Linked DNA regions of Mus musculus: all the other regions are reported to be linked to region 6. The links are microRNA targets in miRTarBase. Many come from high-throughput screens and were not tested one by one. Region 6 holds a microRNA gene; each other region holds the end of a gene's coding sequence.

Evidence for each region. The annotated mature microRNA mmu-miR-425-5p reads AAUGACACGAUCACUCCCGUUGA and lies in region 6 at 1,862-1,884, shown strand. An mRNA with a match to its seed (bases 2 to 7 or 8) in the 3' UTR can be bound and repressed. Matches are read on the target gene's strand: a 7mer-m8 pairs with bases 2 to 8, a 7mer-A1 pairs with bases 2 to 7 and ends in A, and an 8mer does both.
Region 1: miRTarBase lists Scaf8 as a target of mmu-miR-425-5p. The part of its 3' UTR that is shown has no 7-base or 8-base seed match.
Region 2: miRTarBase lists Ptpn3 as a target of mmu-miR-425-5p. The part of its 3' UTR that is shown has no 7-base or 8-base seed match.
Region 3: miRTarBase lists Sdhaf4 as a target of mmu-miR-425-5p. The part of its 3' UTR that is shown has no 7-base or 8-base seed match.
Region 4: the mRNA of Ankrd40 is a reported target of mmu-miR-425-5p. Seed matches in the 3' UTR shown: 7mer-m8 at 4,156-4,162.
Region 5: miRTarBase lists Fam184b as a target of mmu-miR-425-5p. Seed matches in the 3' UTR shown: 7mer-A1 at 4,415-4,421.

The regions. Positions count from the first base shown.
Region 1 is chr17:3,197,367-3,202,438 of GRCm38, reverse strand. It overlaps Scaf8 (SR-related CTD-associated factor 8), which reads right to left. Exons shown (of 20, transcript NM_134123.3): 20 at 3,580-5,072. The coding sequence ends at 4,229. Among named protein-coding and RNA genes, the nearest start is that of Gm34035, 83 kb to the left of the region's middle.
Region 2 is chr4:57,189,790-57,194,861 of GRCm38, forward strand. It overlaps Ptpn3 (protein tyrosine phosphatase, non-receptor type 3), which reads right to left. Exons shown (of 26, transcript NM_001384115.1): 26 at 1,057-4,573. The coding sequence ends at 4,496. Among named protein-coding and RNA genes, the nearest start is that of Gm12530, 20 kb to the left of the region's middle.
Region 3 is chr1:23,991,790-23,996,861 of GRCm38, forward strand. It overlaps Sdhaf4 (succinate dehydrogenase complex assembly factor 4), which reads right to left. Exons shown (of 3, transcript NM_026503.3): 3 at 4,150-4,571. The coding sequence ends at 4,462. Gm53062 (a long non-coding RNA gene) reads left to right here. Exons shown (of 5, transcript XR_865295.2): 4 at 1,153-1,284. Among named protein-coding and RNA genes, the nearest start is that of Sdhaf4, 11 kb to the right of the region's middle.
Region 4 is chr11:94,338,828-94,343,899 of GRCm38, reverse strand. It overlaps Ankrd40 (ankyrin repeat domain 40), which reads right to left. Exons shown (of 5, transcript NM_027799.2): 5 at 2,053-4,347. The coding sequence ends at 4,201. Abcc3 (ATP-binding cassette, sub-family C (CFTR/MRP), member 3) reads left to right here. Exons shown (of 31, transcript NM_001363187.1): 31 at 125-605. The coding sequence ends at 233. Among named protein-coding and RNA genes, the nearest start is that of Gm51871, 11 kb to the left of the region's middle.
Region 5 is chr5:45,526,035-45,531,106 of GRCm38, forward strand. Fam184b (family with sequence similarity 184, member B) reads right to left here. Exons shown (of 16, transcript NM_021416.3): 16 at 3,671-4,796. The coding sequence ends at 4,703. Med28 (mediator complex subunit 28) reads left to right here. Exons shown (of 4, transcript NM_025895.4): 4 at 1-3,250. Among named protein-coding and RNA genes, the nearest start is that of Med28, 8.3 kb to the left of the region's middle.
Region 6 is chr9:108,566,928-108,571,999 of GRCm38, forward strand. It overlaps Mir425 (microRNA 425), which reads left to right and starts at 1,850; the gene lies at 1,850-1,934. It overlaps Ndufaf3 (NADH:ubiquinone oxidoreductase complex assembly factor 3), which reads right to left and starts at 509. Exons shown (of 5, transcript NM_023247.2): 1 at 1-509. It overlaps Dalrd3 (DALR anticodon binding domain containing 3), which reads left to right and starts at 2,965. Exons shown (of 12, transcript NM_026378.3): 1 at 2,965-3,148; 2 at 3,223-3,518; 3 at 3,637-3,887; 4 at 3,965-4,044; 5 at 4,118-4,246; 6 at 4,519-4,592; 7 at 4,686-4,747; 8 at 4,855-4,937; 9 at 5,014-5,072. The coding sequence starts at 2,984. Mir191 (microRNA 191) reads left to right here and starts at 1,392; the gene lies at 1,392-1,465.

The sequences.
Region 1 (5,072 bases), not on the chromosome of region 6:
ATTATTTTACAGTCATTGTATATTTTACTGGAAACATTTCCCATTTCTGAGTAGTATTGCTTGCAATTAACAGCATTTTATCCAATGAGATTCACTATTTTTAAGTTTTTTTTAGTACATATATACAATGGAATACTATTTATGAAAAACAAAGACTCGATGAGATAGATGGATCTTGAGAATATCATCCTGTGTGGGGTAATCCAGTCACAAAAGGGCATGCACCATATATATGTATTCCACTTATAAGTGGATATTAGCCATAAAATACAGGATACCCATGCTACGCTCCACAGATCCAAGGAGGCTGGAGAGAAAGGAGGGCACAAGCAAGGATGCTCAAGTCTCACTTGGAAGGGGGAATAAAATAGTCTTAAGAGGAAGATGGAGGGAGGGAACTGGGTGGAAGAGGAGATTGGGAGGGGAGTGTTGGTGGGGTTCAGAATCAGGTGTGGGGAGAGGTAGGGGGATTGCTGAATGGCCATGAGAATTAATGGAAATCTGCAACTGATGGGGGGGGGGGGTTGTTCCAGGAGGACACAGAGACCTGGGATAGAGGAGGTGCCCAAGAATCAATGGGGTGTCCTTGGCAGTGACTCACAGCACTGGGGACATGAAGCCTGAAGAGGCTGCCTCCTGTGGCCAGGCAAGAACCCCAGGGGAGTGATAGAAACACCAACCCACCCACAAAACTTTCAACCCCAAATATATCCTGTCTACAACAAATGCAGGCACAAGGGATGAAGCAGAGACTGAGGGAATAGCCAACCAATAACGAACTCAACTAGAGACCCATCCCATGGACAAGCACCAATCCCTGGCACTATTAATGATACTCTGTTATGATTGTAGACAGGGCACGTAATTCTCTGAGAGGCTCTACCTAGACAGATGCAGACACCCACAGCCAAAGAGTGGATGGAGCTTGGGGACTCATGGAAGAAGAGGAGGAAGGATTGCAGGCCCCTAAGGAGATAGAACTCCACAGGAAGACCAACCGAGTCAACTAACCTGAACCCTTGGGGGTTATCAGAGAATAAACCACCAGTCAAAGAACCTAAACAGACTGGACCTAGGCCTCTCTGTGCATATGTACTAGGTGATCGTCATGTGGGCCCTTGAACCACTGGATCAGGGGCTATCCCAAAAGCTGGTGTCTGTTCCTGGGATATGTTCTTCTAGCTGGGCTGCCTTGTCTGGCTCAGTGGGAAGAGAAAGCGCTTAGTCTTGCAGCAACTTGAAGTGCCAGGGTGGGGGAGGCTGGGGTGGGGTGGGGTAGTGTTCCACCAATTCAGAGGAGAAGGGGAGTAGGGAAGGGGTAAGGATTATGGGAGGGAATGACCGAGAGGGGGGCAGTGAGCAATATATTGAAAAATTAATTAAAAAGTATTTTTTAAAGTAACTTTAACAATAATGCTCCCAGTCTCTATCAAAGTATAATTTTTCATAGGAGTGAAGATAAATTTAATAAAGCAGCAAAATTCCCAGATGAGAGGAAGTACTCTGATAAGAATAAAGTGTTAGTGAAATTACCTTGTGCTCTGAATGGGCCACTTACACTACTTGGACCTTCCATTCACTTCTGATTAGTACCTCCTCCTATACAGCAACATTAAATGAGCGCTGCTTATCAATATGGCTTTGTTGCATGTTTCCAGACATGGGAGAAATTACCAACTGCAGTACATACACTAATGCTAAGAACAGAGACCATGCTTCATGAAATTTGTACAGTTAAGCAGTTCAGTCTGCTACACTGCAGAGTGTGGCATCACTCTGCCGTGGCACACACTGAAACCACGTAGGGCTGTTGGGTGTAGCTCAGTGGGAGAACGCCCAGCATAAAACTGGCCCAGGGCTTGATGATCCCCACGGTGTGATTCAGTGTACCATACAGTACTGCCCAAAAAACCACAAAGCAGTGCACTCAGTGGCTGGGCCGCTCCTCACATGTGTTTCCAATTGGCAGCAGGCCTACGGACTGCGGCAGATCCTAAGCCAGACTCATCTGGAATGGTTATGACTGAGGGTGAGCAAGTCCTTCCTTACTGTTATAATGACAAACAAGGACAAGGGGGGCAAGCAAAGAGTAATCGCTTTTGTCTGAAAGGAAAAGTGTCCCCAAACATGCACAAGGTGACACGGTTCTGCCAATGCTGGGCTAACTTGCACTTTCTAGAACCTTCAAACTAGTGCAAGTGCAACCCTTCTCAAGTACCCACGGAAGGCCAAAAGCTTAGAATTAAAAACAGACCACTAACAAGTAAGCTTGTTTATATTGCTACTTAACTTGACTAAATGTCCATAAATTCTGATCAGAGAAAAATGGAACTAAAGTACTTGTGAGGAACTGTATTCACTACCATTTCCTAAAGGCCAAAGCCAGTCTTCCCTGAATATTTACTCTGCCCCAAGGTTGCAATTTTGACTTTTTATCCTAAGGGAAAGACCTAGCATCAAATCAAACTATTAACTGAGTTGCTTTGGAAGTAAATATTCAAGCACTTCTTCTCTTACCTGCCTTACCCAATCAACCAAATAGATTATGCCCTACTGTCTGAATTCACAGGTTCAGGCTGTGTGAGAAAAGACTCTTTCTTTTGGCTACAAATCTCATAGCTGTCTAGAGCATCACCAGAGGAGCACACAAACAAGTCTTACTTTAAATGCCTCGTGTACTCTGTCACAGCTTAGAGATTCTAGACAGAGCAAAGGATGCACGGCTGAAAACGCAAAAGAAAGGAACTGAGTGCTCACAGAATCATGGGAAACCTCCACTGGAAACTAGAAACTACTGATGGCCTTTTATCATGTATATGCAGAATGTGGAAAATGCAAAAAAAAAAAAACAAAACCAGCAAAGAAATGAAACTTAAGAGCAAAAGCAAATAGGAAGCCAACCCCAAACATTTCTCCTCCTTTACCTTAGAGCCTTGTCTAAACAGTGTTACTCAGAGACTACAAAACACATGATGGAAGCTTTATTCCTGACTTATGCCATCAATGCCAATATACATTCTATGCAATTAAGAAACTGATGGCATGCACGTGAACTAAGCTCCTTAATGACAGTCTCATCTACAAGAACAGCAGATAGTGTGAGAAATTGTCATCACTTAATGTGAAATCTGACTAGGTGCCACATCTGGCTCTGTGTTTAGCCATATTAAAGCACCAAAAAACTGTCTCTCAGGCAATATACTTCTAATTTCTTACTTCACACTTATCAAGATTAAAAAAATGCTATAAACATGAGGAATGTTAATTTACCCAGTGTTCCCAATTTTCTATCAAGCTTTAAAGAATATTAAACTTTTAAAGACATTCTTTTTCTCTGTATGAGCAGAGACAGACATGCAGAGAAGGAAAAACTACATGGCTTATACAATAAGTATACATAGATACTACATACATATTGTTCAGACTGCATGGTTTTTATATCAAATACAGGCTTTTCTCAGCACACAACTATTCATTGTTGTTAAAGGGTAATGAGAAACTTCAACAGCTAAGTACATACTACTAACAGTTCAGTTTTAAGAATTTGTAGGTTAAAAAAATACAATTCCTAGAACACTGTTATCAAACAAGTAAGTTTTATTGGCATCTAAAAACAAAATTCACCCAACATTGAAACGTCTTTGAATGTTTATGTTGTTTGCTTTTTTCTTTTTACTTATTGCAGTATGAGGAACAAATCACACACACTTACTTTGGAGTAACAGAGACCATCGTGGAGATTTTTACAAAATCACTTTTTAAAATCTCTGTATTATGCTCCTCAAGAATCTAGAGCCAGTCCTTGCATAAAATGTCATAGCTTTGTCTGTCTCCTTAAAATCCTGCAGCAGCCTAGAGTTATGGAGGAAATGGGCCACACCTTGCTGTTCTGAAATATGTCATTGCCATACCCAACCCAATGACAGCGTCTAAAACCTTCTCTTCCATAGGAAGTCTCCGACAAGCCGTTAGCATCTCCTTGACGTTAAAAGAATCTGGGGCAACATTTATACGTTATCAGAAAAAAAAAGTGTTTACCTACCATGTTCATATTAAGAACAATGTCTATACAAGTCAGTTGTACAATTATTTTAAGAGAAAGGTGAACATGAACATCAGATTAACTTAGTTCTGGTAGATAAACATGAACAAGTGTGGTGCAGTCAGCCATTAACCTCTTACAGAGATGACAACTGTACAAAAGGTTTCTTTTACCTACTGAGTGATGTTATGTCCCCTCAGTCTCTGTGCTTTCTACCACCGCTTCACTCTCTACACCAGCAACTGTGCCGCTCTCCTCCTTGTCTACGTCACCTGAAGACGCCAGTTTCTCATAGAGTTCAGGGTCCTTCTGTACTGGTAAAGGCGGTGGCTGAGCATGTCTCTCTGTATTTTCACCATTAACTTGAGGCACATTATCACCTTTCCGTTGAGAAGTGGCCCCTTCGAAATAATCAAAAACCCGAGCATGAGGAGGGGGAACCCAAGTGTTTTGAATTCTATCTCGTCCAAGACGATTTCCATTAATTTCTCTGCAGAAATCAAAATCTCTGTCATCCCTATCCCTCTGCCTCTCCCAGGGTCTTCTGCGGTCATCAAAATCTCTGTGAACTTCTTGACCAAATCCTCTGTTCCAAGGACCACTTCTAGGATCAAATCGGTAATTTCCAGCCCGAAATCTACCTCTTTCTTCATGTAAGCCTTTTGGACCACCAAAGACAGGCAGAACTCGATGCTCTCTCTCATCAAAATCTCTAGGCCCCCAAGGCTTCTCTGGGGGAAAGCCAAAGTGGTCTCTTCGACCAAGGTGGTCTAGACTTGGCCTCACAAGATTCTCCCTCATGTCCACAGGAGGTCTTCCAAAATGATCCCTAGCATCTAATGGAGGCCTTCCAGGGCCTTCTCTGGGATCTAGACGTCGCCCAACCACATCCCTAACATCCACCTGAGGAGGTCTGGTAATGCCCTCCCTGGTTTCTATAGGAGGAAAGCGGTAATCTCTATCCCCTTCCTGCTGAATATTGTCATTCCCAAGTGGTATTCTTTTATCTGGGTTGGGAACATTGTCTATA
Region 2 (5,072 bases), not on the chromosome of region 6:
CTTTAATCCCAGCACTCGAGAAGCAGAGGTACATGGATCTCTGTGAATCTGAGGCCAACCTAGTCTATTAAGCAAGTCCCAAGACAGCCAGGACTGGTACACAGAGAAACCGTGTCTTGGAAAAAGAAATCCACACACATCAAAAGAAGCCTGAAAAAAAAATCACTAAGTAATTTTCTTTTAGCAATATGGCATGATGACATTTAGTTTATGTTGTTCTCATGAGAAGAAGAGACTACATGGGGCCAAAGGGCTCATTGTTCCTCAAATTCTTTCTCAGAATGAGATCATGTGAAATTTAGTTATGCATACTGTCCTCCCCCACCCCCCACCTTCTTCTTCTTTTTTTTGAATTTACCATGTAGACCAGGTTGGCGTTGAATTCATAGATTTGTTTACCCCTGCCTCCTGAGCATTGAGATTCTAACATTTGGTCTGGGCTTGAGGCCTCAGGCTCAACAGCAAGTGCCAGTACAGTACTCACTGAGCCATCTCACCAGGGCCTCCTGGCAGGTAGTCTCAGCTGCCCTTGAACTTGTAATGTAGAGACACTGACCTCCGGATCCTTCTGTTTTGACTTCCTGGTCTGACCCAGGGCTTCGCGCATGCTCTGCAAGCACCCTAGCAACGGAGCTTACATTCCCTAGCCCCAGCATATGGTTTCTTGGCATAAAAACTACCCCCTTGAATAAGATATGGCCCTGGGACTAAGGACACAGGTCTTGCTTTTCTCTTCCCCTTCCTGCTATGCTATCAAGCACCTGAATGTGTCTGGAAGTCAAGGTAGGAGCTGCATTCTGAGGACCTGGAACCCTGTTGATCACTGAGTCACTCAGCAACCGCGTAGGATGAAGGATAGGGCTTTGTGCAAACTACTGCCTTCACAGTAGAATCCAATTCTGATCTAAAACTGGTCCCCCAAAGTGAGTGCTAAGGCCAAACACTGCACGAGAAATCAACCAGAGGGAGGGTGAGGTGGGCGGACAGCATCGAGTTGATAGGAGGCGGGGTACAAACCAGACACACAAATAAAAATGTTGACAGACAAGAACAGTGTTGCATAGCTTGAACGCTTTTATATTGATCAGGTTGTTTTTCAGTAGAGTTCCGACAACAAGTCAGGATGAGAAAACATTCCAAATTTACAGGAAAACATATTGCTGATCGACTAAAGATAACTTTACAAAATATGGCTTAGCACACAATCCTGTGGTTGCTCCGGTGGTACGAGAGCTATCAAGAAATCGACGTTAGCTATCATCAGTCTTCGAGGTTTGATTGCTCAGGCTGAGGTCACAAGGAACTTGGCTGTCTTTTCTAGGTCTACTCTAGGATGACAGGTAAGAACCAGGAGGGTGGTAATATTTATCTTTGTAATTCCACAGTGATAAGGACTGAGACAACCAACCCCTTGGGGACAAGTCACAGACCGGGTGTTTCTCTGTGTCAGCCCTTCAGACTTGGTTAAGGTTAAATTTTGTTTCCCTGAAATCTAACTGTGAGTTCATCTAGTCCCACCAGTCACCAGTGCTTTCCAACATAAACAAACTGGCTGAGGGCAAAGCCGGGGTCTGGACTAAGTCTCACCCATTTTTCCCTGATGCCTCCTCTTTGTTGCCTTGGGAGGATGAAGAGGCAATTTACTGCACCCCCCCCAAATGGTAATTTTTAAGGATAAAGGCGTGCAGAGGGGAGGGGGAGAGGGCCAACCATGAACACAGCAATAAGAGAATCTACACAAGCATCAGAACATATTTAAGTCCCATGGGACCCCGGGAGGAAACTAAAAGTACCGCTACACGTTTGAGAGCCATCCATCCTGCCCCCTACCCCTCAACAAACTTCACTTAATTGTTCTCTCTGGAAAATCAACACACCATGTATGGATTCTGGAGAGTGGTACCAGCAGGGAACCCACCGGATGAAGGAAGTACACTGGGGTGTCTAATCTGTTCTTTGGGAAGGTGCTGGAATGTAGGATATAAATATCTTCCCCATTCACAACCAGCCAAATTTCCCAGGCAAAATATTTACCCTGAGTCTGATGCAATTCTTAGGATGAAACATAGCTTCTCAAAAGCAACTGTGGATATGGGAGATGCAGGAAAACAAGAGCTCAGAACTTTGGTTTTTTAAATTGGTAATATTGACCCAGTTCACTTGGGCACTCTACTCTTTGGGGTCATTTTCATGTCCTTCTCAAGATCCCACGGACTCTGTTTCTGGCAACTACCACTGTGTCTGAAGTGCTGGCCCCATACAATGGCAGAGAGAGGCCAGCTGCAGCTTTTTCAAGCTTCACAGAATATTACATAAGTGTAACAGCAGCATTTTCGTGACCACACTCAACGTGTTTTCAGAAAAATAATAAAACAGTCTCCAAGGACATTTAGATTCTGCAAGTGCTTTGCACACAGGGCAGTGATAAACATTGCTATCAAACAACGGTCGTCTGTTAAACAGCCTAGTGCCACTGAAATGCACCCAGTACTCTCTCCTCCTCCTCTTCTTGGGGCTTTACTGAGAGCGTTCTCAGAACCCAGCTTGAATAAAGGTATCGGTGCTCTGTGCTTTTCCCTCTACAACACTGCTCTATGAAAACCTGGTGGGTTCCACTTGTCTGATATGCTTGGGGCCAACAAAAGAAGCCAGCCTTCCTAGTTCTTCAGTGGCATTGGTTTATGTATTCCAGAAGCTGGAAATTAGTTTCCATAGTGTGATCTAATTCTGTCCTCAAATTCCAAGTGTTGTTTTTCATTATTTCACACAGACGGAAAGAGAGGCACAGATCGATCCCAGGTTCCTATGAGGGCTACCTGGTGTTGAGCAGTACAGAACCAAATTCCACTTTCTCAGTATACAGGGCACTGAGCAGTGCCTTTCTCACTCACATCATTGAGCACTACTAAGATGTTTGTGGGTAAAAGACAGGGGGGAGGGAAGTAGACAGATAAACTGAGCCTGCAGATAAAGAACCTTCAAAAACCTGAGGTCCTTTGTACAGGTCCTTACCCATCTTGCAACTAGGAAATGCTTTAATTGGTCCAGTATCTGCTAAGTATCTATGTAGCTTCATCTACATACATTATAACATCAAAGTATCCTTTTCCTATAATACCATTAAGAAACTTGCTGACTTTCTTTTCGATACATAAAAACAGCTATTTAAAAATACCACCTTAGAGCATTCATGTAATTTATTTTCCTTAAATAGTAATTCGCTACAATCCTGCCACAAATTAAAAAAAAAAAATAACATGGTATTCACAGAGCAGAATTCTTTAGGACAATCAAAATCCCAGAGTACTTAGAATAAATTAACATCAAATTGTGTTTATATTCAGTTAGTCTGATTCTCTCCTCTGAAATGAAATGGAGACCATTGTAACCTAGGGTGAATGAACAACACACTTGTTCTTCTGTACAGAGATGAATTCTTTACATAAACTCAACAGTAATTTGAATCAAGTTAGGAATCCTGAGAAAGTCAGCCACCCACAGACACACACATACACACAGAGACACAATGACAGACGGACACACACACACACACCACCCTTGATTGAGAAGCAGTGTTTCTCATGGTCACTTACTAGAAGGTCATTTCTAAGAAGGGTCCAAAATTCTGAATATTTGGATGCTATCATCCCCCACCCCCCAAGAAAATTGTCTTGTTTCAAGTGTGAGAGCTTGAAGTAGCAGCAATCCAGAGATTCAGTAGTCGGCGAATCCAGTCATGGCGTCCGAGTATACAAGGAGTGAGCAGAGGCTCGCCTGCTTCCGAAGCTGAGACTCAGCCTTATGCAGAGCCTAGTTCCCAGTCTCGGCAGAGAATTCACCTGAACATACATCATGAAGCTGGTTCAGGCACTGGGCGTGATCCTGAAGAAAAGGAATTTGGGGTGGGGGAAATGGGGTGCTTTGGATTGCAGAAGGGGTAGAGATGAGGCGGAGGGAGGGAGGGAGGGAGGGAGGGCGGGCAGAATAGATCCTGTTCATCCTCCAGCCTGAAGTCCCTTGTGCCCTGCCTGTGGTACATTCATCCGAGTTTCCCTTGGTGTCAGGGGTAATGGACAGGAATTGCCAAGGAAGTTCAGCCCTTGGAATCCCACACAGAACAACACACAAAACACCTGAGCAACCACAAGTAGCCACATTGTCTGGCTTCTGGCGGGAGGACACTGCTGGTGTCCCCTCTCATTGCTCAAGGATGGATGACAGGGGACGGTGATATGTAGGGAGAAACACAGTTCCCAACTGGAGATCCCCTGTTGCTTCTCTCTGGGCCAAAGGAGTCATAGCTGCATGCATATCTACACCATCAGTCCTTATGTACAGGGTATCTTTTCCACAGAAATTTAAAGTGCCTGGGTTCAGATAAGCTCATCCCTTTCCCACAGTGACCAGCATCTCTGGGGGGGCCTCCAGGGGAATGTGTGCCCCCTTCTTCAGGAAGTCGCCCTAGGGAAGGAGGAACGACCACTTCACAGTTGTCCTAACTGGGATCCAGCCTCTGGACTAAGCCTTCTTCGTACACTCGAAGGATCGCTTCACACACAAACTTGTATTGGCTCTGGAAGAGAAGAGAAAGCTGTCAAGGCCAGGGCTCTGGGAGTGCTGCCTCTTGCACGCCATGCTTGAGAGGGTCTATGAAGCACTTCTATTCTATTCACTCCCTGTGAGCCAATGCTGGGCCTCGGTGCTGGGAAAGACAGAGGCGAACTCAAGCCTTCACAGACTGGGTGAGTGAGCGGGGTACCCTCAGAGAAGTGTGGGCCGAGGGGAAGCTAGCTGGCTGCTGAGCCAAGTGGGGAGCTGTGTGAGCTAAGGACCGGCGTTCCTCTTTCTCTGCTCTATCGCTGAAAGCACAGCTGCCATGCTGCCCTTACCAAAACCTCAAACGATGAGCTCAAATAAACCCTGCCCCTCTCTCTGTTAGGTTCCTGGCCACAATAATGAGAAAAGTAACTAATGAAGGCACTGACGTGGAAACTGTGGCGACAGGGGACATCTGTTCTGAGGCGTGTTTGTAAGGATTCCACCGTCCTGACCTAGAACAACTGGACAAGTGT
Region 3 (5,072 bases), not on the chromosome of region 6:
CTTTATATGCCTCAGTACAGGGTAATGCCAGGGCCAAAAAGTGGGAATGGGTGGGTAGGGGAGTGGGGGAGAAGGTATGGGGGACTTTTGGGATAGCATTGGAAATGTAATTGAGGAAAATATGTAATAAAAAATATATTAAAAAAATAAAAGGAAAGCAGAGAAAGTAGGAATAGAGATGATGGAAGGCACCTGTGAGCTTGGTAGGACAATAGATGGCAGAGAGGATAAAGATCAAGCTACATTGTATCCATGAATGAAGATGTCAGGATGAAGGTCACAGTGTATAATTACCGCATGCTAATAAATTTTAAGTATATTTATTAAACCTATATCCTAACTTTGAAAACTAATTAGGAAATAAACAAACAAGAAAAGCAAAAAAAAAAAAAAAAAAAAAAAGAATTCCTTCCCTTGAAGGGACAGCCTTTTGGGAAACACTTCAGGTCCCCTTGTGCTTATCTTTGAACATGAGGACCTTCATACCTCCTATAGCAGGTTGGTCTGATATCAATGAATGAGAGTGAAGGCACGGAAGACTGGATACACAGAGCCTTGGACAGGAGCACAGTTCAAATAAAATTCTGGGCAGTCAGTGACATAGCCTAATGAGGGTAGAAGTGGGAGGGGCTACATGAATAGCCCTGTGTATTTGTCACTCTTCCTACTAAGGTGGTAAGATATCGATAAAAGCAATGTAAGGGAGGATGGGTTTATTTAGACGTATGGTTTCACAGTTCATCATGGTGGAAACCACAGCCACAGAAGCACAGCGCAGCTGGTCACACTGGATCCAGTTAGGAGCCAGGAGAGAAAAAAGGATGAATGCCCACTGTACTGACTAGTTTTATGTAAACCTCACATAAGCTAGAGCTGTCTGAGAGGAGGGAGCCTCAACTGAGAAAATGCCTCCTGGGATAAATGGAATGACTCTCATTTACTGTATATTATACACGTTATTGAAGTATATAAACTCTTTTCTCACATGTTGTGCTAAGTAGTCTAGACCAGCACAGTTTTGATTTCTTATGGTCAATTCAACTAATAATTCAAAACTAATTTAACATAGTATTTTTCAAAATGTTAATTTAATAAATGTTCACTAATTTGGTTGACTAAATTACAGGATATTTTCAAAATATTTTTACTTAGCAGAAACAACAAGAAAGAGAACAAATGTTGCCCGTGGCTCACAAGCATTTGGACCTCCGGTATCTGGACCTCTGCCACCTCTTCTGGTCTCCAAGGCCACTGCATGCACACGGGGCTCCCAGACACATGCAGGTAACAGCAACACACATGAAATAGAAATACCTTTTTTAAAGAAAGGAACTAACGTTGGCTCATAGGTGACAAAAGCAAATCGAGTTTAATTAACACAAAAATTAGCCTCTGGTCACAGTTAGTTTAATAATGATCTTCCATTGGCCAGAGAGTTGGCTCAGACGTTCACAGCACCTGTTGGTCTTGCAGGGGACCTGGGTTTGATTCTCAGCACCCACCTGGCAGCTCACAGCCATCTATAATTCCAGTTCCAGGGAATGAAGTGCCCCTTTCTGACCTCCTCAGGCACCGGGCATGCATATGGTGTGCATACATACATGCAAGCAAAATACTCATACACATACAATAAAATACATTTAAAACTTTAAAAAGTTTATCGTCTTCAATGATTTCAGCAACGCCTCTATCAAACCGCACTTACAGTTGACATCATTTAATGATCAGCCCACTGCACTGTCAGTCTGTCTGTCTGTCTGTCTGTCTGTCCGCAGTGTTTATCAGCTCTGCACACCCTTTCTTTCTAAGCATAGCCAGGGGGCTGCAGGCCTAGCCTCAGCGCCACAGAAAAGATGCCTGAGGTGTGTAGTGGGTCTGGCCCAGGTATCGATGGGATAGGAGCTGTCGAGTTATCAAGATGAACTCAACAGAAACTTCTCCCCCTGCTTTTCTAACTTGCTGTCTTACCAATACACATTTCATTCTGCCCACCCAAATTATCACTGTTTTAAACTAATGATTCTTTCATGTGAATATATCAAAGTAATTTAGTTCATATATTTCGAATTTCGCTTTTCTTGATCATTCCCACAGGAAGGCCTAGTGATCTGGAAAAATCCATTCAGGGTTCAGAATAGTGAACGCAAGGAAAGCCATGCCTTTTGCTCTGCTGTGAATGGCGTGCACGCTGAAACTGTCTGTGGACATCTACAAGGGTGCCTCAGAAAGGGATTCTTGTTTGCTTGGAAGGGGATAGGTTCTTACTATACTGTCCAGGCTTTCCCCAAACTCTGCCTCAGGGTGAGGTGGCTCAGTGGCTAAAGGTGCTTGCTGCTAAAAGTCTGACGACCTGAGTTCCATCCCAGGAATCTACACAGTGGAGAATGAACCTGCTCCTGTAGTTCTTCATAACTTCTCTGTCTTTGTGCACGCACACAAACACACCCCTCTCCCCCGTGGTTTTCTCTCAGGAACTGTAATATGAATGGATTCTGTGATGGTTTGGATATTCTTGGACCAGGGAGTGGCACCATTTGGAGGTGTGGCCTTGTTGGAATAGGTGTGACCTGGTTGGAGTAGGTGTGTCACTGTGGGTGTGGGCTTAAGATCCTCACCCTAGTTGCCTGGAAGTCAGTCTTCCACTAGCTGCCTTTGGATGAAGACATAGAACTCTCAGCTCTGCCTGTGCCATGCCTGCCTGGATGCTGCCATGCTCCCACCTTGATGATAATGGACTGAACCTCTGAGCCTGTAAGCTCAATTAAATGTTGTTTTTATAAGACTTGCCTTGGTCATGGTGTCTGTTCACAGCAGTAAAACCCTAACTAAGACAGATTCATTTATTTAATCTACTCAAGTGTCCTGCCAACTACTATCATCTCCCATTTACACAAAAGGATACAGATGTACAAAGACATTGAGTAACATGTTCAGGATTACATAGACAGCAAGGAGTGGGGGCAGGACTGGATTTAGCTCATTTGGCTTCAAATGAAGTAGTCTGTCTCATTACTGTGGCCTTCATGAACTCTACTGTATTGTTTAACCTACACTTAAAGTCACTATGAGGCCTGGGAGGTGACTTACTGGGGAAAAGCTGACTGCATGAGCTTGAGGTCCTTAGTGCTCCATCCTTGGAACCTATGCTGAAGGAGAGAACTAACCTCCACAGCTCTCCTCTGACCTCTGTGCTTAGGCCCACATACATGCACACATGCATGTACACACGTACACACAGCACATGTATACACAATTCTTTGAGTGTCCCAATTTGGTTCCTGTTGCTTTAATAAAACATGTACTAGAAGCCACTTGGCAGGAGGGAAGGGTTTATTCCATCTCACAGATTACACAGATGTAAAAGTCCATCACAAAGGGAAATCGAGGCAGTAAGGGCAGTTCCTCGAGGCAGGACCTGAAACAGAGGAAAGCCGTTTAGTGGCTTGCTCCCTGTGGCTAATTCAACGTGCGTTTGTATACAATCCAGGACCAGCTAACCAATGGTGGCACTGCCCACAGCAGGCTAGGCCTCCCACATCGGTCATTAGTCAGGAAACCGCTCTACAGACTTGCCTACAGGCCAGTCTGATAGAAGCATTATATTAACTGAGGTTCCCTCTTCCAAGATGACTCTAGCCTACAGAAACGTGACTCAAACTAACCAGCACACCTAGTCTTAGAAATGATTGTGTAAAAGCCACTTTACTGGGGCTGGGGAGACAGCTCTGTGGTTAAGAGAGAGAACAGCTTTACGGAAGACCTGAGCTTGGTTCGTGGCAACCCAGGACAGGAGGCTCACACCAGCCCAGAACCCCAGCCCCAGAAAAATCTGCCACCCTCTTCTGGCCTGTGAGGGCAACTGCACTCACGTGTATGTACACACAGACATACCTATGTAAACATAGTCTAAAATAACAGTACCAGCTCTTGGGGGTGGGGAGGAGGGGAAGAGATGGCACAGAGGTCTTGACATCTATTGCTCTTGCAGAGGTCCTGGGTTCAGTTCCCAGCAACCAGGGTGGCTCACAACCACCCACAACTCCAGTTCCAGGGGGGTATAATGCTTTCTTCTGGCCTTCATGGGCTCCAAGCACATACTTACATACAGAAAAAAACTCACTCATACTTATAAAAATAAAATAATAAATCTAAAGAAAAATTTCAAGAGGTCTTTATTTACACATGTATTTTATAAGCAACTGATTAAATAAATGACAAAAAGATCGTGGCAAAGACTTGATGCTCTCATCCCAGACTCTGCCCTGACACACTTAAGGTGAGGTTAAGATGCTAATGGAAGCGTTTCCACATTCCTCATCTATAGCAGCATTTGCTATTCAAAGCTGTCACATGCATTTTAGGACATACGATGGAAATTACACACTTAAAGGACACAGAAAAAGAAAACAACTTGAAGTAAACAGTTCAGGTAATGATTCTGCAGTTGTGAGAGTGCGTGACTTAAAAGTCAATGCAGCGTCCCTTCCGTTCCCAGTCTCCATATCGTGTAGGCTCCGGGCCCTTGGGTCCACCTTTTTCTTTGGTAACTGGATTTACATCATCCGGAAACTCTGAGGAAGACAGAAATATGGAGAAGGCAGTCAGCAGAGACGGCGAGAAATGAAGTGGTCAATGTTGAGGACAGGACTGCATGATCTAGGTGTGAGTGCCTGGGTCATCCCACTCTTTCAAGGAGCTGTAATGGGGCTCCTCCTCTCCTGCCCCCAGAGCTCAAGCAATGCATTTTCAATCACCTTTACCCCCGACACTAGTGACCCCCGACTCTAGGCATGCTTTCAAGTCTAAAAACCACTAGACAGTAGTTTCCTAAGTGGTGCTGGACCCGACAGGAGGGAAGGAGAGAGAACGGACAGCAGCTTCACTGAACTTGGAAGGTTTAGAAACAAGATCAATGTCGCCATTTTCTTCCCAATTTTGCCTTAGTGTTGAACTGAACAAGGTCTGTCTCAGTAACAGGTATATACAGGTGCTGACAGGTTCTATTTATGAGCATCCCTGCTGCGTAAAAGGATTTTGGTGTCAGCAGATGGTTTTAGGAATATAAGGTATAA
Region 4 (5,072 bases), not on the chromosome of region 6:
GGGCTGAGGAGGTTGACTGAAATAGGTGGGCTGCCATGTCACTGCAGAGTCTGAGGCAGCACTCAAAGGGCAGGGCAGGCCTCCAGGACTGGGAGGCTTAACTACTTTTTCTTTTTCTGGCTAGGGTCCTGGTCTTGGACAAAGGAGTAGTAGCTGAATTTGATTCTCCAGTCAACCTCATTGCGGCCGGAGGCATCTTCTATGGGATGGCCAAGGATGCGGGACTTGCCTAGATGATGCATTCCAAGGGTTTCTTCCTTGTCAGATGGACTCGATGGCCATGAGTGGGGACATTTAGAGTTTTTTTTAATTCTGCAAATTGTCTCACAGTGGAATGAGGAAATGAGTTAGAGATCACAGCCAGTTCAAAGCCACGCTCTGACCAGTGCCTGGGTCTCCTGGTCTAGTCCACCATGATTCCTGTACTGCAGTTTTTAAGAGACCTTGCTCCTGCCTCTACATATGCATATTTTCCAATTTTTTTTTTTTAAATGAGCCTTTCTCCTCCTGGACCAGGGACTGCTAGGTCAGTCTGTCCCGGGAACAGAGACCCTGTACTGGTGCTGTCTGAGTCCACTGATGAAATAAAGCTGTAGTCAACAGCATGTGGGTCACATGTTACCTTCTTCTGCCTGTTTGCAAAGTCCGGGGGTTAGAACCTTCACGAAGAACCAGGGCAGGCCAAGGCCATCCTACACTTCTGTGTGGCTGCTGTTATCTGAAAGCTTCAGACCCAAAACCTGTGGCTATAAATACCATCTTCATAGCGAAAACTCACAGCAAAATGACAGTACCTCCCACTCTGCTGAGCAGAGGCTGAGGAAAGGTAAGAAATAAAGGCCCTGGGACTTGACCTGAGTGAGGCCGGGGTTCTTGGAAGAGCTGCGGAGCACACTTTTGAGCCCATTGTCATTCCTCAGTCTTCCAAGCCCTGCTCACCAGGGGAATAAGTGGATGTGACTCTCCCTTCCTGGCTCCCTAAGATGCCTGTTCACCAGGGAGGCCACTGGTCTTTCCTTCTCCTCTGGTCAAGCTGGGTGAACAGGAAGGCTAAAAGTGTCCTAGGTCCCTGCCTCCCCAGGCCCTGGAGCCATTTTGAACAAGCCAACAAAAGACTTTTCTGCACAGTCCATCTGGTCCCAGGACTGCACTTGAAAGGAACCTCCCTGTCACCTCCTCAGCCTTCGAGCTCACCCTCAATTGTACCCTTACTGTCGGTGAGAAGTGACTGACAGCGTGCGGGTGGTGGCTGGTTTTCTTTCCCCACCCTAAGTGCTTGGCAGTCACCAAGGAGATGGCGCCTTTGATCTGCTTTTTCTATATGCCCCGGGTTGGCCTATGCTGCAGGACCATTTGTTAAAGGTTAATCACTTTTTTTTTTTTTTTTTTTTTTTTTTTTTGGGCAGGCTATTTCTGCCCAGGATGTTTATGAGTGTATGGAAGGCGACTTCCATCCTTCTGATAGAGCAAGTATGAGAGCACAAATGCCCAAATTATTCTGCCTCTCCCTGGTGCTAAGAAAAGGTCTCTGCTGTGCTGATTTATTAGGCCAATTTGGCATGACGTCTGCTTTGTGAGGTGCTGGGAGGCCTAAACCAAACAGGAGATTCATTCAGCGTCCTTCCCTGCTAGAGATCTGAAGGTGGCGGGCTGTGCCTCCTCTCCTGTCTTGGGAGTTCGCTTCTGAACTCACTGAGGCCATGACAGGTGCCGACAGCCCAAAGGGGAGGCTCGGTTGTGTCAAGTAAATAGGATAATCAAAAACTGTGGTTAATAGGGGATGACCTCTATCTAGCTGCTCAGCGACTCCAGGGAAACCAAGTGACTGGGAGGGAAGACATCACACAGAATCCATCTCCAGACACGACCCACGGGGTGAGACAGTGACACTCGTGACAGGGCAGAGGCAGGCAACAGTGGGGTGGCAGACACTCGGCTGGGGATCTGGTCCTCTTTTTCCTCCACAGCGCCAGCCCCATGGGACTTCACAGCAATTTGAACCCTCTATGATTAGAATACAGTGGCAAAACGAGGGCAAAACGAGAGAGAATGGGCTGGGTCAGTTAACAGTTAATTTTAATAATACCTGTTATGTTTAAAGAGTCAACAACACACGAGGAAAAGTCTTCTGTGAATGTTTACACAGTGTGAACACATGCTTTAACTATGCAGTGGAGGAGGAGAGGAGCATTCAGTTAACAAAGCCTAAAAGAAAACCCCTTGTTATAAATTACACAACGCATATAAAAATATTTCTCTGAATGCATAGATTAAGACTCGGAACTCACCTAAGAGCAATCACACAGTTCCATCCCACTGCCCGAGACACTGACCCCAGAGGACTGTGGCAAAGCACAGGACACTGGGCAGAGCCATGTGGGCCACCACAACCTTTGGTCAGTCTGAAGTGCTTGCTTGCTCCTCTGTAGCCCACCTCCCAGCCAGCTCTACTGCTTCTCAGAATCTCTAATCAACCAGGGAGGCTGAAGGAGTCTCAACCCCAGTGATTTAGACATGAATTAATACTGAGTTTATTTCTTCTAAGATAGAATCACGCTTAATTGAATTACTAAACTTTTTCAAAGCAAATTAGGAGGGAAAAAGGTTAGTACATTTAGTTAAAGTAGTTTCTGATTGGTTGAAACACAAGGGAGGTGTCTTCATTAAAGCACTTGGGAAAGGGGGTGGTGAGCCACAGCCACTCCACTACGCAAACACTCTACAAGGGAAGTCACCAGCTGTGCCAGGGCCAGGCACCATGCAGTCACCTCACAGTGACCCACACAGTGACACTGGCTTTGAAGAACACCTCAAGCTCATTTCAGCACTCAGGCGGCAGTGGGAGGCCATTACCTCAGCACAAGGTTCTCTTCCAGTGCATCTGCATGTTTTCAGTCAACTGCAGTGTTCTAATAAAATTAAGTTAATACCCAGGAAGTTAAGTTTCTTTGGAAACTATAGGCACTATGGGGAAAAGCTTAAGACAGCAGGGGTCCCGTCAACAGCTGCTCCAGCCCTGTTCTCCTGCTCTTGTGTGCGCCAGGTCCTATCTATCTAAAGTTAAGCAAACCGAGGTGGCTTTTCGTCTTTAATGAGGCTGAGGGGGGGAGACTCTTGCATGCGCTCTTGGAGAAGAGTCGTACACCATGCTCCAGAGTCTAATCAGGCCCTCACAACTGACTGTGGAGGTAACGGGGAATTCCTAAAATTGAACAATTTGTTTATAAAAGCAACAGATTCCAGAGTTATGTAAAAACCCTAATAATTTTCAAAATAACCTTTATCTTTGATACAAAAATAAAGATGCTAACTCCTTTAGTTCAGTTTCCCACAATAACCTTTAAACCAGCAACAAGTCCGGGCTCAAAAGCTGCTCTTTGTTCCTGGAGGGAGTGAGAGTGGTGGGCGCCTTGTCCAACAGCGCCTGTGCTCTTCTTGAATGGTGCAATTAGACAGGGTGACAGGAGTGGCCACGGAGCAGGTGGTGGCTCCTTTAGAAAGCATTAGAGAGCCCTCTAGTGACTGTGGAGGGGAGCAGATGTGAAGATGACTGTCGAGACAGCCGCAGTCATCAGTGGTCATAAAAGAAAACTGGGGGAGGGGAAGCTCTTTTGGTTAACAGCCTATTTACAATTAGGTAACTATATTTTAAATACTTTAAACCTGAGTAACATTTATAAATATGCTATATGAGACCTCACAGCCACAGGTCATACCAGAATCCCTCTGTCCAGTACCTGTGTGTGCTTTCTTTCTTTCCCCAGTCTTCCTCCCTCATCAGTTCAAAATTTCTTGAGTGTCACGAGCATGCAACACCAAGAGAGGCACGCCCGGCCCTTCAGGCGCACTGTCAACAGGAGTGGCTAGAAATAGGTCTGCGCTCTCAGCTTCTGCTTTGACAACTCTCTAGATCCTGCACATTAAACACTGGCTCTCGAACCTTCGGCTTCTGCCTCTCAAGACTACTTTCCAGCTGTTCAAAGATTCAGCAATAGTTTATTGTGCACCAAGAGGCTTGGAAGAGTGGCACCGCTGCTGGGGGGTCGGGGCTCCTGCCTGGTGAGGCGGGGTGTTAGTGAACACTACGCAGTGGCACCAGGGGCCCTGGTGGGCATACGAGGCTTTGGGATCAATGGCTTGTCCTTTGGCCCAGAGATGACACATACTGTCACAGTACTCAGTGATGAAGTCCCTGCTGCATCAGTACGTCAGTTTTGAAGCTCTCCGGTTATAGCAAGGCCTCTCAGTCAGTGTGGATGCAGCGTTTCTAAACAGAAAATTATTGTCACTTATCATCAGAACCAGTTCCAGCTCCTGGAAGTCCTGGAGTCGGGCAACATCTTTGTCCTGAAACAAAACCGGGTAATGGATTAAAATTTTCTTTTCATTTAGTTAGCTCTTTATTACATTTGTTCGTTTTGTGTGCACACATTTGTGTTATAATGCACATGTGGAGATCAGAGGGCAACCTGTGGGAACTGGTTCTCTCCTTCCACCATGTGGGGCCCTGGGACAGACAGAACTCAGGTCTTCAGGCTTTGCAGTAGGTGCCTCTACCCACTGAGCCAACTTGCCAGCCCAAGGCAACAGAGCAATAGCAGCAGTCTGTGTCTATGCTTGGTTGGTTGTATTAATTCCAGGGTCTTGGTTCATCTTTAATCTAAAAGGAAAATTAAATCCCTGAGACAGCTAAGCAGTGATCAGCCCCCACATTTAATCTGAACAAGAAGGAGAAAGTTCTGTCTCTGTTGCAGGATGAGAATGCCCTAAAGGGACAGGCAGGTGAGTGTCAGGTTTCCTCAGGAACTTAGAGAAGCCAGAAGCTTGATGCTGGAGAGCCCATAGCTGGCTGGAGCATCACAAAGATGCCAGGTGGGCCGCATATCATATGGCATAAGGCTACAGGTTACTATGGGAACAACTGAAACAGGCCCATGTAACATCCTGCTATCTTCCAACCTTCAAAAGTGCCAGTGTATTAGAGTATGATCGTTCACACATTTAATCCTAGCAGGCAAGAAGCAGAGGCAGGAGGACTGCCATAAATCCAAGGCTGGCCTGAGACACACAAC
Region 5 (5,072 bases), not on the chromosome of region 6:
CCATTCTCTGAGTCCTTATTCACTCTGCCTTGAGGGCACACACATGAGGACTATGGCATGCTGAGTGCTCTTGGGCTGTGCTGTGCTGGTCAGGGTAAGGAATGGAGTCCCAGGGAAGGCTCGGGTGAGGTATGAGGTCACAAGCCTGCTTGGATTGTCTATTTGTCTCTGAGTTTTATTTGCTTGTTTTTTGTTTGTTTGTCGTCCCCCCCCCCCCCCCTTCAAGGCCAAGCACCTCTCTTTACCCAAAACAAATACTCCATACCTCTTGAATAGTCAGTGCATCTCCAGCTTGGCTTTGTCCATTTTGGTTTCTGGAGCCTTAGCCCAGGTCATAAGCATCACCATCCACTCACTGCCGGCCTAGTCTGAGCACTGCCATCTGGTCTGTGGAGCTTCAGCATGCCCCGTTGCTGCGCCTCATCTCAGGGCACAGGGTTTTGTTTGTAATTTTGTCAACTTCCTTAAATTCTACATATGCTTTATGAGTAGCGACTATGTTAGTTGCTCTATTGTATGCCTGTTAGAGTTAGGGACTTCCTTGATTATGCAAGGTCTTACTAGTTTCATGTGTATGCTTGACTGTATGATATCTAGTTCCTGGAACAATTTAAGCCAGTCTAAGGCCATCAGGTTCCCTTAATTAGAATATATAAATGAAACAGAGTGTTGAAAAATTTAGGCTGGCATGGTAGCATTTGGGAGGTAGAGGAAGGAAGCTCAAAGTGTAATCTCGTCTTCAGCTACATAGCAAGTTTGAAGCTGTTGTAGATTACATGAGAGAGATCTGCCCCCGTCCCCTCTACTTCTGTCAAAAAAAACCCCAAAACAAAACAACCAACCAAACAAAACACTTAATTAAAACCCATGCATTTTCTGAAGTACTGATTGACAGCTTGGCTGTTTCTGGATTTCTTGGCTAAAAACTAAATAAACTGGTTACATTTTGGCTGGTTTGTCAATAATGAGGAGGATGGTGGAAATACTGAAATCATTCTTGGTGCTTAGTGAAAATATTTTTAAGTTGGTCTACATACAAGTTACTGTTTATTTTAAATTGAATTCAACGGTTAGGTTAAAATAATTTTCCCATTTTGTCAGTTTGTGTGTGTATAGTATTATCTGTGAACATGTTTGGGGAGGGGTATGTGTGTGTTTTTGTGAAGGTCAAAGATCCATGTGTGTTAGACATTAGAGATCCAGGTGGTAGCTATTTCCAGATTACCTTTCGAGACTCAGTTTCTCACTGAGTTTGGCCTTGTTTACTGGACAAGACTAGCTGGCAAACCACAGTGATCTTCCTGCCTCTCTCCTCCTTCCAAGCTCTAGGATTAAGCTACTCTGCTCGGCTTTTTATCCTGGTACAACCACATGAACTCAGGGCTTCAGTTACACACACGAGCTTTACTTACAGAACCATCCCCCAGCTCCATCTCTCTCCTCCTAAGTGGCACTTTGCTGGCTGTTGAACACAGACATTCCAAGCTGCATGTCTTTCAGGGGTTTCCGTTGGTTTGCTGCTCCTATGTGTAACCTAATGGATTCAAGGAAGTTTCCTGCTTGTTTCAGTTGCCTACCTGAGTAAGACCAGCCTTTCCATATGCATGGATCCCAGACCGGTCGCCTTCTCTAGGATGAAGCACTGTGGTGATTTCTGCCACTTGCAACTGTCTGTCCTTGGCTCCTTCCCTGTACCTCACCCAAATTCTGTCTTAAACATTTCCCTTGATCTTTTCCAGCTCCTTATTCCGTCTCCACTCTGCTCCTTCCTCCACAGCTGTATTTGTCTGTCCTGCAATTGTGCTTGTGATCATCTTTGGCAACAGACCAGATGGTACGTTCACTTCCTTAGTTTCTATACATGAACTTAGCTTCTTGACTATCCAGTTCCAGTACCATTGGTTGTGCCAGTCCTGGGTATTAGTTTGCGTAGCATGGGTGCTACAGTCAGGTCTGTTTCTGGAATCCTCTAGTGGACAGTGGTCAGGAGCAGTCAGTCACCCTAGTCTACACTGCAGAACTATCCTTGCACAGAGAGCACACACCTGCCAGTGTCCAGAAGCTGACCCAGCAGTGCTCCAGTTACTCTGCTGAGGTAAACAGGCTCAGAACACCAAACCTCATCGTCACCTGAAACGATGATCAGGTGAGACAAATCACTTATAATTCTCATTGGGGCACATATACGCCCAAAACCAAGTCACCAGGTCATTCAACCACCAGACATCCTGCTGGATGAAATGAGTGACTGTGACCTTGGCCCCCTTTGGTTAATATCAACTTGACAGGATCTAGTCCCACCTAGGAGACAGACCTCTTAGCATGTCTTCGAAGAAGTTTATGTTGGTTGAGGTATGTGGGCAGCAGCATCCCAAGGGCTGGGGTCCAATACTGAATAAAACATGAGCTAGGCGTCATTATTCTTTGCTCTCTGCCTCCCATCTGGACACTGTGACCAACTACTTCAGCTCTGTCCTTCCCAGCCATGGTGGACTGAACCACCAAAATCTTGAACCATAGTAAACTTCTCTGAGTTCTTTTTTGTCAGCAGCAAGGAAATGCAGAAGGCTGCAGAAAAGCAGTCTTGTGCCTTACCAAGAATTACAATGCTGAGAAATGCCCAGATCAGAAAAGGCACAACCACCTGTATCGCCCAGTGCTCACTGCTTATTGACAAACATTGGAACTTATGGCAAACGAGAGTGGGCATTTCCTATCCAAAACTCCAAATGCTCCCAGATCTAAACTTTTCCAACAATGACCTGACACTGAAAGGGGAAACTTGCATACTTGATGCATTGAGTAAAAATGGAGGTGTACCAAGAAAAGAATAAGGTGGATATAGAAATGTCAGGGAATATGTTTAGTTTTTGGTCCCATGTTTAAGATAACTTGTGTAGATTCATGAATCTGAAAATATGCAAACATTTATTTTAAGTCTTACTGGTGATTGAATTCAGGACCTTGCACATGCTAACCATGTGCTATATACCACTGCTATGCACTTTTAAGCACTTGTGGACCCAATTGTTAGGTAGGAGGTGATAAAGCAATAAAGGCTGCTTGCTCATGAGTGGCATTAGTACCCTTGTAAAGAGGCAGCTCTGTTGCACACGAGGCCCCATAGTGGAGACTTACGAAGAATGCTTCCCCACTTTCATCTTGGTCTCTTACCTGCAGTAATGCATTTCTTTTGTCTGTATACTCTCTCCATCATTAAAGTTTTAGTGTAACAGCCTCAACACTCCAGTGTCTTCAGCTTATGCAGGAAGGACAAAAAGTTGGCACTGAAAAGTCATGTGCCATTCATTCCAAATACGGTGACAAATGGTTGCATTCAAAATGGAGAAAGACCCATGAGCTCCAATCTTTTAGGACACATGGCTAGCATGTGGGTTCTAGCTGGGTATGGTCGTGCACTCGGGTCAGTGGGAAAATCTTTGAGTTTGAGGCCGTCATGGTCTTATTATATAGTGAGTTCTAGACATAGTGAGATTCTGTTTCCAAACAAACACCAACAAAAAAGTGTATTCTTATGAGCAAGGTAGTTCAGTAGTAGAGCACTGGCCTAGCATGCTCCAGGTCCTGGGTTCTATATGTAGAACTACCAACAACAACAACAAAAAAAGAGACTTTAAAATTTGAAAATGATTAATAAGACAGGTGGTGGTAGTGTGGAGGCAAAGACATTTTTATTGTCCAGTTCAGAGTTTTATTATTCAAAGAGCAAAAATTTGACAATGCATAGAATTGACATCTGTTGATAGGCCACTTGCTGGGCCAGCACCAGAGAGAAGAAAAGTCTACCCACTAAAAGTTGTGTCAAAGGGTAAGACAGAGTGCAGCTTCAGCACCATGGGCAGTTCCCTGCTCTCCTGGGAGTCCATGCAGTAAGAAAGCCTTACTTACATCTGAGGCTGATAACACAGATGCAAAGAACAGGTCCAACAACGGTTGGCATCAGAGAACAGACAGTCTAGAAACCTTTGCAAAGACTTAGCATAATGCATCGAAGCTGAGATGTGTAACAGGAGGCACAGTTGTTCACCGAGCATTCCAAGTCAGACTTGATAGTATGCTGCTTAATCTTGTGAAGTGCTGTTTGAGGTAGGTGGTGTCCCTCTGCAGTCTGTGGCCTGTGCCAGACCTTGGAAGTCAAAACATGCAATCCAAGCGTGCTGCAGTCCATTCCTGGTAGGTTTGGTGTTTTGTTCTCATTGGCTTTCCTTTTATATTGAACTTTTATTTTATTCCTCTTCATTTTGAGGTTAGATGTGCATTTGGAATTATATATACATATGCATATGTACATATGCATATATATATAATCATAGCTTTGAGTGGAGATGACCAAGGAAAAAATATTTTTAAAGCAGACCATGGCAGTCACAAGTCTGATATCTCACAAGTGAAGTATGACATTACAGGCACTAGGAATACAATGGGTAATTTGGTCATCAGAGGTTAATATTTTCCTATGGGTGCTTCCTAATAACTGGCTTGTTTCATCTTTAACTATAGGCATTCTTACATAAGCAGGTGTCACAATGAAGCTGAAATGTTCGTGCCACACTTCATTTTAGCTATCCATCGCATGTAAGTCACTCCCAGCTAGTTACCTGGTTGGGTGGTTTTAATTTATTCCTTCAGATGGTTGAAATGATTTTCTAATGTCCTCCTTCAAACAGACCCCCAGGTCAGTTTAGAATGAAAAGTACTTGGTAAACCATTCCTGATGCGGGGAGCCTTGCTTCTGTGGGGCTTCTTTGGGTTGGGCTGGTTCGCCATCTTGGGTCCTTTGAAAAAAAGACAATTTTTACATGAAACTATGAAACTTATTCAGTAAAAACCAATACTGTACCATCTTTCCCGGGGAAGCTCTTAACTGCTTCAATAATGCCAAGTCACACTGACAAGTAGCCCTAGCTATGACACACACTTCTGTGTCAGGTCTGAAGGTAGGGATATCTTAAAGGTTAGTTCCTTTAGTCACACCATTCTGATCAGGTAGCTACTGTATGCATTTTTAAGATAGTAATTGTACTGGCGAGTTTTGTGTCAACTTGACACAG
Region 6 (5,072 bases):
GGCTGCAACGGCGCTTAACGACCCGGTCGTAGGGACAGAGTTGTCTGTCTCAAAGTAGCCACAGCGCCCCTTGCGTCCCGGAGGGCACCGCGCACCTTGAACGGCGCAGTAGGCCAATGCAGAGCCTCTGTCTCCCCATGCGGGTGTGTCAGCACCTGTCGCCCACCCCGCCCCATGCCTCCAGCGACAGTCCCTAAGGAGGAGGGGGAAAAACACCTGCTAGTACGGGCGCCCTAAGGGTATTGTTTAGGCCACTGCCGCGGCCTGTTCCTGGGATTCTCAGCCATTATTCGGGCTCCCAGGGACCAGGGCGGGGCAGCTGCGCACCTGGTCCTGTTATGAACACCTGGCCAGGGTGTGGTGCCAGCCTCCAGGCCCTTAATCCCAGGCTTTGGAGAATCGGGCTCCGGGGGCGGGGCAGATGGCTAAAATTTCCCTAGCTAGTCTCGAAATCGCTGCTTTCCCCAACCGTCACCAGCGCGACCGTTGGCGACGGCGCAGCGCTCCATGAGAGGCGTGGCCGAGCATGGATTGGCTTCCCGGCAGCGCGAGGGGGTGTGGCCAGATGGTTTCTCCTTAAAATGGCTCCAAGTCTGGGGACAGCTAGAGCCAGCGGAAGGGCACGCCGTGGCAGTGCTGGAGTAGCTGTTCGAGTGGGACTGACTGGGCCAAACCGGACCAGACGTGAAGTAGACCGCGCCTGGAGCACCACCCCGCCCTTGCGCGCTCTGCGCGCGCGTACCGAGAGTCTCCCTCCCCCTGTCTTGAGCTGAGTCTAGGGCCTACTGGCGCATGAGTCCTTGGCGTCCCGCGGCATGGGCATCTCTGCGCACCGGTTCTGTCCTGGCCTCAGAGGAACTTTGTCGCGTTCTCTATCCGCTGGACTAGACGGGTGGGATGCTTGACACAAATGGGGCTTGGCTGTGGGGTTCTTTGCAGGGCCGGTTGCAATGGGCTTGGGGGGAGGCTGTCCTGCCGCTGCTATGTGGGCCAGTTTGGCCCCTGGCACTTCATGAGCTGGCACCGTCACCAGACAAAAGGTCCTAAGCTTTGGGGAGTCCCAGAAGTGGACACATGGGTTTACTTCCTCTCGGGTCTCACGGAATCGCTTCCCTCTTGACGGATTCCGAAGCCTGCCCGGTACAAGTGGCTCCTGCTTGGGACTCACAGGGCTAATCCAGCCCTTCTGATCTAATCCGGATCAGGACCTCGTCCCGGGGGATGCCCCCACCTTCTATTGTTCTGGGGCCCAGGTGAGCGTCTCATTCTCACTAGACTGGTTTAAAACACCTACTCCTTCCTACTCAGCCCACTGGGAAGGGATGGGCGGGTTCCGGTTTGGCCTCAGGGCGAGTGACCTGGGAGCAAGAGCCCTCCTCCAATGGCTGGACAGCGGGCAACGGAATCCCAAAAGCAGCTGTTGTCTCCAGAGCATTCCAGCTGCACTTGGATTTCGTTCCCTGCTCTCCTGCCTGAGCAGCGCCCTGGCCCAGATAATGTGGTCTCTATTCTCAGAAACACTACACTACTGGGCCATTCTGATCTCCATCTCTCAGGTGCACCCCCAGACTGATGGTGGCAGTCAGAGGCGACGAAAAAAGCTCGGGCTGATGGCCCTGTCTGGAATCCCTGGAGAACTCTGACCAGGGAGGTCCTGGGTCCTCTCTCTGAAGGGCCGCAATGGCGGTGAGTCCCACAAGGCCGCCCAGCCCGCAGCTCGCTAAAGATAGATCTTCACTTCCTGGGGAAAACCCACCCCAACCGTCTTCATGGAGGGAGAGTAGCTAAAATCACCAACTTGCTGGTGGGTCCCAGCCCTGCTAGCAGCTGAACCCACACCACAGCATGGAAAGTGCTTTGGAATGACACGATCACTCCCGTTGAGTGGGCACCCAAGAAGCCATCGGGAATGTCGTGTCCGCCCAGTGCTCTTTCGGCACCTCCCAAACAGGGCCTCATAGCCCCGGCCTTCCCGAACTTTTCCTATCTCTAGATGTCACTCCTCTCCGGAGCAAAGTTCACCGGTTGGATTCATTCATTACTGGGGGAAGTGGAGTTTCACGTTACTTGGAAACGAAAGAGTTTGGACATAGAAAAGCTCACCTGCAGCTTGCTCTACCTGAGAGCTCTGCTTATTTGGGTCTTCTCATCATCACATTTGTCTTAAACTGACCAGTTGCCTAAAGAACCAAAGGTGCCGGTAACACCAGTTTAAAGGAAAAACATTAAAGGCTGGTAATCCTGGAATCATGATGACTAATTCCTCGGGTATCAAGATGGGCAATTCTATCCGATTGGGCTTTTACTGGGAATAAAGACATTCCATACCGCAGCCGAGGAAAGGCGTACCAATAATCAGAACTCAAATTTTGCTTTGTTTCGTTACTTTTCCAAGTAGGCGGTAAAGAGTCTTTAATGGAAGACACGAGTGGTGGCACACACCTTTAATCCCAGTACTCAGGAGGCAGAGGCAGGTGGATTTCTGAGTTCAAGGACTTTCTGGTCTACAAAGAGTTCCAGGACAGCCATGGCTACACAGTGAAACCCTGTCTTGAAAAACAAAGTGTCATTAATGGTACAGCCTTATTCCTTTGACATTTCGTCTCGTGCGTCTGGCCTTTAATTTGTTTAAATGGGGCAGAAAAAGAAAAAAGAGACATAAACACAAAGATGTGAAACTTTGGTGGCAAAGTGTCTTGCCTGGTAACAAAGATCCGTTATCAAAGTAATAATTCGGGGTGACGATTTTTTTAAAAAGGAGGAAAAATGGACCCTCAAATTTGGAGGTTAGGGCTCATGAATACAGGAAAGGCCATCGGGAGGGAGAGCTGGAGGCGTGGGTAGAATGTAAGCTCACTTGGCATGCTCGATCGCTCTGGTCCATTCAGGAGAGTCCACGGCCGGATCCCCGCCCCCGCCAGGCGGACCTCCCGGAAGCTCTACGGATAACTTACTTCCTGTTCCATTTAGTCTTCCGGTCGCCATGGCGACCGGGCGCCTTGGGGTTGGCGAGACGCTGGAGGCCCTTAATGCAGCTGTAGGGCCTGGTAGCCCAGTGTGGTTTAAGGAAACCCATGCCCGGCACCTTCGTGTTCGAGACTTCTTGGCACCGCGAAGCGCGCTACAGGCGCGCTTCAGGGACGGCCAGGTGGGTGCGCTCCTGTGGGGCATGCCTAGCGGGATCCACGGAACTACGGCCCACTTACACACATCTGCCTGCAGGTGCCAGAGTGCGTGTTCCGTGCGGTCTCCTGCCTGCAGGGTCCCGGAGTGGCCCCTGTACTGCGCTGCGCGCCGACACCCGCGGGTTTATCGCTCCAACTACAGCGGCCCGCTGTCTTCGAACATGTACTCGGTGCCCTGGCCTCCTATGCTACTCCCGCCAAACCTGCCTCACCAGGCCCGCGAGTTGTCCTACACTGCCCAGCACTGCGCTGTAATTCGGGGACGCTCCGATTGAGCCAGCTGCGTGCCGTGCTCGTAGCCGATCATCTAGTACGGGTACTGCGTGCTCATGGGTAAGTGCGTGTTCGAAGCTATAATGGCAAAAGACCGAACATTTGGGGATAGAAAAGGTGGGAGTCATGATAATCTAAGCCTGGTCCGCAGGCTGAGACAGCCTCCCTTGCTTTGCAGGGTACGTGTGTGCTCAGTGCCCCCGGTGCGGGACCCTCACATGTCAACTTTCCTCCAGAAACTTCGGGTGGAATGGCCCACTGCCTCGAAGAGCACCTCGACCGAAACACTGAGAACCTGTGTTCTTGCAAACCTTAATGGTTCTAAGGAAGCGACGCTGCCCCCTGGCGTCCTAGGCCGACTGTGTCTGAAGGAACTGGTAGAACAGAGAGGCACTGCTGGCTATGACCCCAGCATAGACCACTGTTTGGGTAGGACAAACGGCAGAACATGGGTGGGGTTGTGTCTCTGCACTGCCAGGCACTTCAACACCTCTTGTTTTCTGTAGTGACTGAAGATGTGCTCTCTGTGCTCTCGGAGCTGCAGGAGGCTGTGCGCCACTGGCCAGAGGGCGGCCACCCAGGCCCGGTGAGTGGCTGCCTTGACCTCTGCCCAAACTGGATTTTTGTATCTTTGTAGTAACTGCCCCATCTCTCCTCAGGCTGGGCGTCCAGATGCTGGTGTAGATGACTGCGTGGTTATACACGTGGTTAGCTGTGAAGAGGCATTCCAGCAACAAAAGCTGGATTTGCTCTGGCAGAAATTGGATGACCGGGCTCCTCACAAGCAGGTTGGTTACCAAAGTTAACCAAACCACCTCCGACCTCAGGCCTGGAATACCATGGGGTTTAGAGACTGATGTGACCATAGGCACCCGTGCTACAAGTGCAAATGTCCTGTGACTATGTAGTCTTAAGAAAAAGGATGATGGTGTCTTGAGGAGGTACGAAGGAAGGCTGGTGGTTACAGATTGGGAAAACCAAGGTAGAAAAGCAACTGATATAGTTCCCTGAAGCGGGGAGGGTAGTGCCAACTGGGCTGAGCCCTTCCAGTCTTTCACAGAAACACCTGGTGTGTGGTCCCGTGAAAATGGCTGGTGTACCCGGCACCCAGCTGACTGCCCCTCAGTACTACAGGTGAGTATGAAAGGGATGCCATCCACAGCCACCAACAGCGTAAAGGTAGGGACAGCTTTCACTGAGACCTTGCTTACTGGCTCGCTTTTCTAGGCTCAGACATGCTCAGGTGTGCGAGGCCTCAGCTCTGAAGCACGGAGGAGACCTGGCACAAGGTACACCTGGGAGATCCTGCGTGTGCGCTGAGGTGGAAGCAGGTCACGCACACCTCTGGCCTGTGTGCTTCGTCTTCAGACACTGACCAGCCTCTCTCGCACCCCAGACCCCGCCTGGACTGAGACCTTCGACATCCTCTCCGTGGCTACCATCAAATTTGAGATGCTAAGCACAGCCCCACAGAGCCAGGTAAGCCTCCCGACACCAGGACGGAGGATGCAGGTACAGAGCCAAGGCCCTCTGCAGCTATGTTACCATTCCCCAGCTCCTCCTGGCCCACAGCACCATCTCAACAAAGGGCACAAAGAGCGGGACTTTTGTCAT